2 linked regions of the Oryzias latipes genome follow. The protein of the gene in region 2 interacts with the protein of the main gene of each other region in a pairwise test. Links are inferred from orthologs where the notes say so. Each region holds a gene or a part of one and is shown on either strand. Other genes may lie near its edges.

Region 1 (4,556 bases), on a different chromosome or scaffold from region 2:
TCAAAACTATACGTTTGTAATGTGTATTATATTTAATCTATTATACTGTACTTTATTGAAATATATTTTTATATTGTACTATGTCATTCTGCATTTTATTATACTATTCTATACTAAACTGTGCCTCAAAATAATATAGTGTACTTTGCTATTACATGATTTATAGTATTATAACAAACTATAGTCTGTTTTCCTATACTTTACTTTATACTTTCTTTTAATTTACTGAACAACACTATTCTATACTATGCCATCTTATAGTATACTATACTATGGTCTACTTTTTAAAAAAATTCTATACCACGCTCAGCTACACTTTATACATGTTCTATACCATCTTGTGCTATACTGTGTGTGTGTTTTTAACGTTTTTCTAGGAGGAAATGGTTCAATAATAGTATTTCTCCAACGCAATCTTTGTTTCCTAAAGTTAAAACTGTCCAACCAGCATAAACAGGCCTTTAAAGGTTTTTCCTCCAACACGTTTCAATTCACTTCTTAATTACCCAGAATAACTTGTGACGTTACTGGCTGGAATTAAAATAAGAGAAATCCTGTGACCGCCGGACTACTACACCACATTCTTTCCTCGGGAATGGAATGCAGCTGCTGCTGCTCCCAGAGTCCGTTTTCCTTCAGCCAAATCGCATGTCTGTCTGTCTGAGCACCTTAAGCGCAGACGTGGATATAGAGACTAGCTTCTCCAAAGGAGAAAAGGCGCAGCAGCGCGCAGAAGACCCGGACCTTCACTAGAAACGTCTCTGCTATCAGACCAGAGCAGAGTTGGATAAGTTTTGTAAAGTAAGCAAATGCAGTCTCAATCTATTTTCTATTTCTGGCCTCCAACCCCCCCCATCCCCACCTCGCAGACTGACGTCAGCAGAAAGTTATTTTCATGAATGGAGGGGGCGGTCACGAGGAATCAGTGACGTGAGTGCTTGCGGAAGCAGAGCGTGGAATGTGCTTCATTGTTGTTGTTTTGTAGTTAATTTAGTACGAGGATCCGCTGCTGCCCGGGCTCCGCCGGACGCTTTACACCAACCGGGTCAAGTTTCTACTTCGCCTCCTTTGGACGCAGATTCTGCGACTTTTACGCATTCCTGTTTACGGACGCGCGTCCACAGAGGTGAGGCTGTTTGATGATACTTCTTCTTTCGTTTTTTCATTTTATTTTATTTCTTATTTTGTTCTTTTTTTCTGGAAGATCTGTTGACAAATTGGCCAAGTTCTCATGGTGACATGTCAGAGCCAGGCGTAATGCGGGCCACGCAGCAGTTAGAAAGCCCTATTTGGGACCTGGATACGCGCGACACGTGCTATGTTGGAGTCTGAAAACAAAAAAATCGGAGGGCAAATATATAGATATAATATTCTGATTGTTATTTTTGTTTGTTTTGCCTGCTTAATCAAATTTATTATCATTTTTTAATTGAAAAAATAATGTTTTCCCGTTTGCTATAGGCTAAAAAGTTCGTTTTATTTTGTTAATCCAACACTGTAGTGATCAAAAAAATTTTCGCTCAATAAAAAGTAAAATAAAGTTATTTAGTAAAGGGCTGTAAAGTGCTTATGTAAAGATTACAAAACCCTTTGAGTCCATCATTACTCAACCACCTTTCACGTTTTTCTTTAGATGAACTTTTGGAGAAAATGGAAGTGAAACATTTCCCGCTTGAAATTCCCTCCAGATTTAGTTCTGACACTGGAAATAGGACGAGCGCTTTACAAGATGCCATGACATTAGATTCAACACGTGGTCTGAGTTTTAGACATGTGGGACAAAGGGCACCAAAGACCACCCGAGTTGAGTGGTCCCAAAAGGAGGAGAAAGCAAATATTTTTACAAACATGAATCACCCTGATGGATGAAAAGAGCTTTATCTTATCTGTGTGTTCGGTTCTAGTCAGCAGAAATCTTGTGCAAAGATAAGACAATGGGAGCAATGACCTCATGATTCCTGCTGCTTCCAAGTCTAAATTTTCCATTATCACTTTTTTCTTTCCTTTTTCAGTTTTAATTATAAATACTTGTGTTCCAATCAGACCTGTCACCGATCTCTTGATTGTTCCCCCCTTCAGGCAGTGAGAGCTCACGCCTCTTATCATGAGATGAATGTGTGCTTCAGTCACTAAAGTGATGAGGACTTTTTTGGATGGAGAAGTAGCAGCAGCTGACTGGTTTTCAGAGGATTCCCACTTCCTAAACACGGAAAGCTGAATTTATTCGCTCTGTTTTGACTATATCGCTGGTCACTCAGTGGACACAAACGGAGCGGAGAGTGAAATGTTTTTGTGGTAAGAGTGTTGTGAAAGTGAAATGTTTGAGGTTTCAGACAAGATGAGTCACAGGGAACACATTTTCTGTGATGGTTTTCGCTCTTTTTACTGGAAAGAAAGGGTCAACTGTTGATTATTGATTTTGGAAACCTGCGGTTTGACTGTGCCAAGCTTATAGATATATTTTAAGATGGGCGTGTGAAGAGGTCTGCCTTCAATCCAATCTGACGGCTTCACTGCCTTTGCAAGAAAATCTGTAGTGATCAGATCTCCAGCAGCTGCTGGTCCTGGACTCAGACATAGAGGATGGATTTGGAATAATTTTGTTCTCATTTGTGCATTTTGGCATCAATACAAATAGCTCCAAAATGTTATGCAACCCCCCCCCCAATTATAGCAAAATCTGAGCTGTAATGTCATTTTTTCCCCCCCTCCATGCATTCTTGACATTTCTTTGAATCCTTGCGTCTGGGAGAATATCTTTGGAGTCCTCCTCCCTTTTCCGCACCAAAGTTCCGGCTGCTGCTCCAGAACCACTTCCAAGGTTCTCTGTACTTTTCCTTCCTCCCTGTGAAACAGCGGGATTTTCCAGGAAACACCAGATCAGGAGGGTGTGATTCCCTGCTGCTGATCGTCGGTTTTACCAGTAAACAGCATGACTCACAATTCAAGCATGCACTCCATTTCCCTCATATAATATCCCACCAAATGTGCTGCGCTGGAGGAAGAGTAGAGGGTGGCACATCTTCAGCCAGGGCAGAAAAAAAAATCCATCTGCTTGGAAAAAAGCACACTCAGATTGCAGAAAGCAGCAACTCTGTAGTGAATACAAGTCAGCTTTGCATTTATCGCTGATGCATGAACACACAGCTCTTTGATATGCTGTTTATTTTTGGGAGAAGGCAGGGCCCCGGAGTTACTCACTGCAACTGGAGAGTCACTCCACCAGATCCTTGCATGTTCGGCAGAAATGCAACTGAAAGTAAATGCAGAACAAAAACCTTCACCCAGGTGGAAACGCAGCCAAATGTGAAGCTGACTTAAAATACAAGCATCGCATTTATCATCAACCAAAATGAGAAAAAGTTGTTAAAAGATTAGAAAATAACCCCCCCCCCCCGACACACCAACAATTCTAACAGCTGAAAATCCCATATGAACACTAAAATCAAAGTAAAATATCGGTCTTTAAATTCACTGTTTTAAAGATAATTGTGTGATTTTCATTACATTAAAACCCATTTTACACACGGCTTTCTGGTGTTTTGGTCATAGATTTACATTTGACACGGAAATGTATCTGCCAACGCAGTCTACAGTGAAGGAGCTGAGCTGTTGAATCCAACTGAACACGTTCTTGAAAGGAGTAAGGATAAATTTTAGGATGTACTGAATCGCACTGACACACCTTCCCTTAAGGAAGCAGAGGTTGGAAGTCTGGAAGTTGGGATGTGTTATTTGGTGACATTCCTGTGCAGCTACCCACAGTGGTGGGAACAGTGCGTCTGGACTGGCAGAGTGCGGTGATGGTCCCTCTGTTCAAAAAGAGGAACTTTGCACAGGGTGCTTGAGGGTTCATCTGAGTTCGCCCATCCAATCCACACATGCTTTGTGGAGTTTAAGACAGTGTTCAATCTTTTTCTTTGCTATGTTCTGTAGAAGGAGATCTGAAAATCTGGGTCTGGAGCTCACAAAGAAGTCTGGTCACTGTACAACTAAAGCAGGAGTTTGGTTTGTAATGCCAGTATTATGTGGAACCTATTTTCATGTTGGACATGTCCTTAGTCATGGTTCTAGGAACAGTCAGGGGCCAGAGACAGTCCAGTTTGAAGACCACATGATTTCATCTCTGCTTTTTTATTTTTATTTTGCAGATGATGTTATTCAGTTTACTTCATCCAACCTCCAGTGTGGACTGGGGCGGCTTGGAGTAAAGTGTGAGGCTGCCAGTATGAGTATTAGCATCTCCAAGGTGGATGTTGTGGTTCTCAGTTGCAAAAAGGTGGTTTGTCTTCCGTGGATAAGCAGGTAAAGGTGTCCGTGTGGAGGAGTTTGAGTATCTTGGTTACAAATGAGAGAAGGATGGAGTGTGAGATTGACAGGCAGAGAGGTGCAGCATTTGTTCAATGTGGTCGCTGTATCGATCTGTTGTACTGGATTAGGAACCGAGTCTAAATTCCTACTTTCACTCGTGGTCATAAGCTTTCGGTCATGACAAAAGGAAAAGATACGAGCGGACAAAATGAGTTGCCTCCGCAGGGGGGCTGGGCTCTCCCTTA
Region 2 (4,351 bases):
CCCCTCCGTATCTGTTCGCTCACAGCAACACTGGAGTTAATGTCACGAGGGAGAATGGCTATGAATAATAAACATGCTTCTCTGTTTCCCTTGTTGCCGCCACACACAAGCAGAATCCCAATTTGACACGTATACCCATCTCATTACTCCAAAGTGTGAATTCTTTTGTCTCGTTTAATCTCCCGGACAGTCAGGTAAGGTCTCAATGATCAGATTAAATTTCACTCTGGTAAACTAGCCTCAAGTGCTTTTATTTGGTAGCCTTTATAAGATAAGAATAAGAATGAGTGATCGTACATGTATAGCATGATCTGGAAAGAAAAAATGTTACACAAATAACTTCATAAAGTTTAGGGTAAACATTGCAGGAGTGTAAGGGTTGAACGTTAGACATGATATAAACTTTGTTCCATCCATGTCTGTGGACAGCTACGGTAATCTCTGGACAAGTTTGCAAAACAAAAGTCCATTTTGAATTCTGGGTTTACATAGAAATAAGCATGAAAATGTTTTCTAACCATTTCCTTTCAAATTGCTCTCACAGACTCAAATGTTACTTAACTTTCAAACAACACTCTTAAAGACAAATTATGCTACGCTCTTAGGGATTTTTTTTCACCATAATTTATTTACAGAAGAAAACTATTTCATAAGGCCTCAGGATATTGCATAAACCCAAGATACTCTTCCACAGAAAAAAACCACCAGACCATATGACTTTTTTTTTCTCCCCCAAATTCCTATGAAAGTAGCATATGAGCTTTATAATATTCTGTTTTGTGGTTTTCGCAGACTGAAACAACCAAAAAAAACTAGAAAAAAGGAACAAAAAGCAGACATTAAAACAATCCACTAACAGGCTGTGAAACTGCACTGAACAATATCAACAATTCTCTTTTTTTTACCTAAAAGAAAAGACATGCAGCATAAATAATCATTAACAAACGGGAAAATATTTTGGTCACTGTTGACACAGACTTTGAGACAGCGGCAAAGCAAAATAAGAACCCACTAAGTCTGTGCTTGAGTGTTGCATCAGAAGCTGGACCATTAAAGCATTACTCATTACTAAGGCTGGTGAGCATAAATCATGGCAAAGAGTGTAGAAGCCCAAAACCAGGAATTATGGTGGCTATAGGAATGAGGAAGTTCCCTAAAATGCTGCAGACCCCCTAACACTGTTGTGACCACACCTGAATTAAAGAAAAGGGAAAAAAAAAACGACTAGAAAAGAAGCACATTCTGAAACCAGTTTGACAGCTTTCTTAAAAATCCAATAAATACAATGTAAAAATACAATCAAGCGTTCAACACAATTCATTTTTCCAAAAACCAACTGTAGATTCAGAAGGACTACATATAATAACATCTTAAAAATCTTTAGATGGTATAGATTAAGCAGACAAACAGTTGGTGTGTGCATTTCTTTGTTTTGTTTTGTTTTTTTCTTCCGACACCGTGACCTTGATTCACCACAGTCTGACTGGCACGTGAACAAGGAAGCTTAACACGGGAACATTCTCAAATTTCCCAGATAATACGCAGGCGGTGAGCAGCTAAACCAACACAACCATCATGTACTACTTCTAAAATAGAAACGGAATGTACCAAGACCAACCGAAATCATTGATAACTCCTGCAATGTATGCCTACTTTAATGTAAACAAAGTCGAGTAAAAGGGAACTTGTGTTTATATTACACAAACTTATAACATTATGTTCTGGCAATGACGACACACAGCTTTTACAAAACTTAAAACATGGCTGAATGAGTCTTTCAGGGGGGCGTTGAACCAAAAGCAGCGGATATTACGTAAACTAACTTAATTCCTATATTGATTATTATTAGCTTAATTTGTATTTGTATGGAAAACCAGACAGACAGTAACGACACAACTTTTGAAGAACCTAAAACATAGCTAAACTTAGTCATTTCGGGGGAACGTTAAACCAAACACAGCAACAACAAAAAATTAAGCTAACCTCAATTCCTTGATATTATTAGCTTAATTTATATTTACATGAAAAAAACACGAGCGACCTCAAGCTGTGGTTCTATATCATGTGACACCAAAAAGGGGAAGAGCGAAAGCAGATGCTAATGTTATGTTTTAAGGAAGATACAAGCAAATCGCTACTCTAACAGTTTCACATTGGTTATAAAAGACTTCACTGCATTAGACACGGAATCACATGCTAGTAGTTCTAGTTATGGGATGGCGTTGGAGGGCCAGTCATAAGGAAGCAAGATTCCAATCTGTTTATACAAAACTTCACCCAACTTTGAGAGAAAAAAAGGCTACATGTTATAGAATCATGCATTACAATAACAAGATCTGAGTTTTGTAAGTCAATGAATGTGAAAGACTGACAACTTTCAGAAAATAATCTTAAATATCCAGAGCCATCAGCTGAGTGAGTAGCTAGCTTAAGAGACAGGTTGACGCAAAACATCCTCACAACATTTTTGTTTTCGCAATAAAAGCCTGTTATAGAAACTGAATATATATGAAACACAGCGCGAAGTCCAAATTTCTTTAAAGATTACTGTGAAACTATAATTGTCCGATCTCTAATAAAAATAAAATGTATATTTATGTTTACCTGGTTGGAATCTCCCATCTCCATCATTGTCCCGCAGCTTAAACGCCCAAAGACGGAGAAATAGTAGTGATAATCCAAATTTTTTTAGATAAAATGATGAGCAACCAAACGCCACAAGGGGCCCGTCACAGCGGCACCGGACTTTCGGGAAATATTGCCTCAGCCAAGGCTGGTAAACGTTAGGGAGCTGGTGGCCCGCCCGCTGGGGTCGGCCCACTCACGACGGCCTATGAGAATGAAGGGAAGCACTCAGTGAGCATGCGCGTTGGGCCAACTGGGCTCAGATGCAGCAGTTTTACAATGGTAGAGATAACTGTTGCACAACATATCAGTGGTTATCATGTAAAAGTTATGATCTATGAAAGAAATAACTACCGCTGGGATTTAATAAGATAACTTTTATTCAAATCAACTATTCAATAAACTCATAAAAGTCACCGACTTGCGTCATATAGATATAACTGCTTCAAGTTTTGTTTAGTGTATAGCGGCCCCTTCTGGTCACTTTATGTTATGTCATTGGACTAAAGGTTCTTCAACCCTCATATCCCCATGACTGTATTACAATGTAAAATGTCATAGAATGACCAAGAAAGGTAAAATATTTTGTCCAAATACTTTTTATTCACGATAGGGAGTTAACTCAAACAGGATTTTCACTATTTTTTCTTCACAAATTGTGTTACCTCTTAAAATAAAGTTTACAGAGAAACGTCAAAACAAACTTTTGATTTAGATAGTATGTAAGATTATTATGACCCTCCAATACTGTCAAAACTATAAACATTCACAATATGTTTGAAGTCAATATTGACTTAAACCAAAAATATCCTAATGTAGGCCATTTAGATTGAAAATTGAACTTTAGTCTTATTTATTATCAAATCAGCGTGAACTCTGCATGAACCTGGTACTAATGTGATGGAGATAGCCAGTTCTTGTGACAAAGACATGGTCTGTTTTTGCACTCTGTGCGCATTGTACCAATAAAAATAAAGACAAACACAATTCTTATGATATTTCCAATACTGGTAGATCTACAATCCATATATATAAACACGGGTTAAAATTCATCCAAAATGGGCTCAGAGGACAAAACACCAGCATGTACAGGTATAAAGTAAAGTACTTTTGATGTTTTGGAAAAATTATGTGATTTTAGCTAAAAGTTGTTTAGAAGTGTCTAAAAATGGTCAAATGGAACCCTAAGTTGTTAGTAAAATGGAGCAAAACGTTTGCCTGAAAAAAACAAAAGTGGAGGGTATAATAACTACGGTACATAAATTGCATGAAGTCCTTTTGAAAGTATTTAATTTATTAAACTACTAATGATAAGTGACTATGGTGTATTACTTAATTTGGGTCAGCACAGCACCTAAATTGTGGGCAAAAATACTAAGTACCTGTGTTGTTGTTGTTTTTTTCTTTTTATGAAGCTGAATGATAGTTCACTGGAAGTAATAAGGAGCAGTTTTGCAGCCCAGTGTGGGCTCATTTTGAATTTTCTAATGAGATGAACAATCAAGGACTCTCTAACGAGAGTGATAATGATAATATTTGATTTCATTCTTAAGTAAAGATAGGACTAGTTAAAAAAATACAAGAAATATCCTGAAGAGAGTGAGAAGAAGTAAAATCCTCAAAATTTTAGACCAAATTTATTACTACACCCAGTGCACCCATTATCTATTACAGTATATCTGTTTCCATCTCTGATGGCAACACATCCAGGATCAGATACCCATAA

Evidence for each region.
Region 1: the proteins of nfe2l2 (region 2) and mafk interact in binary tests that used the Homo sapiens proteins (3 or more experiments, as listed by UniProt). The link is inferred for Oryzias latipes from reciprocal best matches to the Homo sapiens genes NFE2L2 and MAFK.

The regions. Positions count from the first base shown.
Region 1 is NC_019866.2:7,342,016-7,346,571, reverse strand, and holds the start of mafk (transcription factor MafK), read left to right. Parts: upstream 1-1,445; 5' UTR 1,446-2,284; coding exon 2,285-2,295; intron 2,296-4,556. UniProt on the Homo sapiens protein: Since they lack a putative transactivation domain, the small Mafs behave as transcriptional repressors when they dimerize among themselves.
Region 2 is NC_019879.2:22,682,478-22,686,828, forward strand, and holds the start of nfe2l2 (nuclear factor erythroid 2-related factor 2), read right to left. Parts: upstream 2,801-4,351; 5' UTR 2,632-2,800; coding exon 2,605-2,631; intron 1-2,604.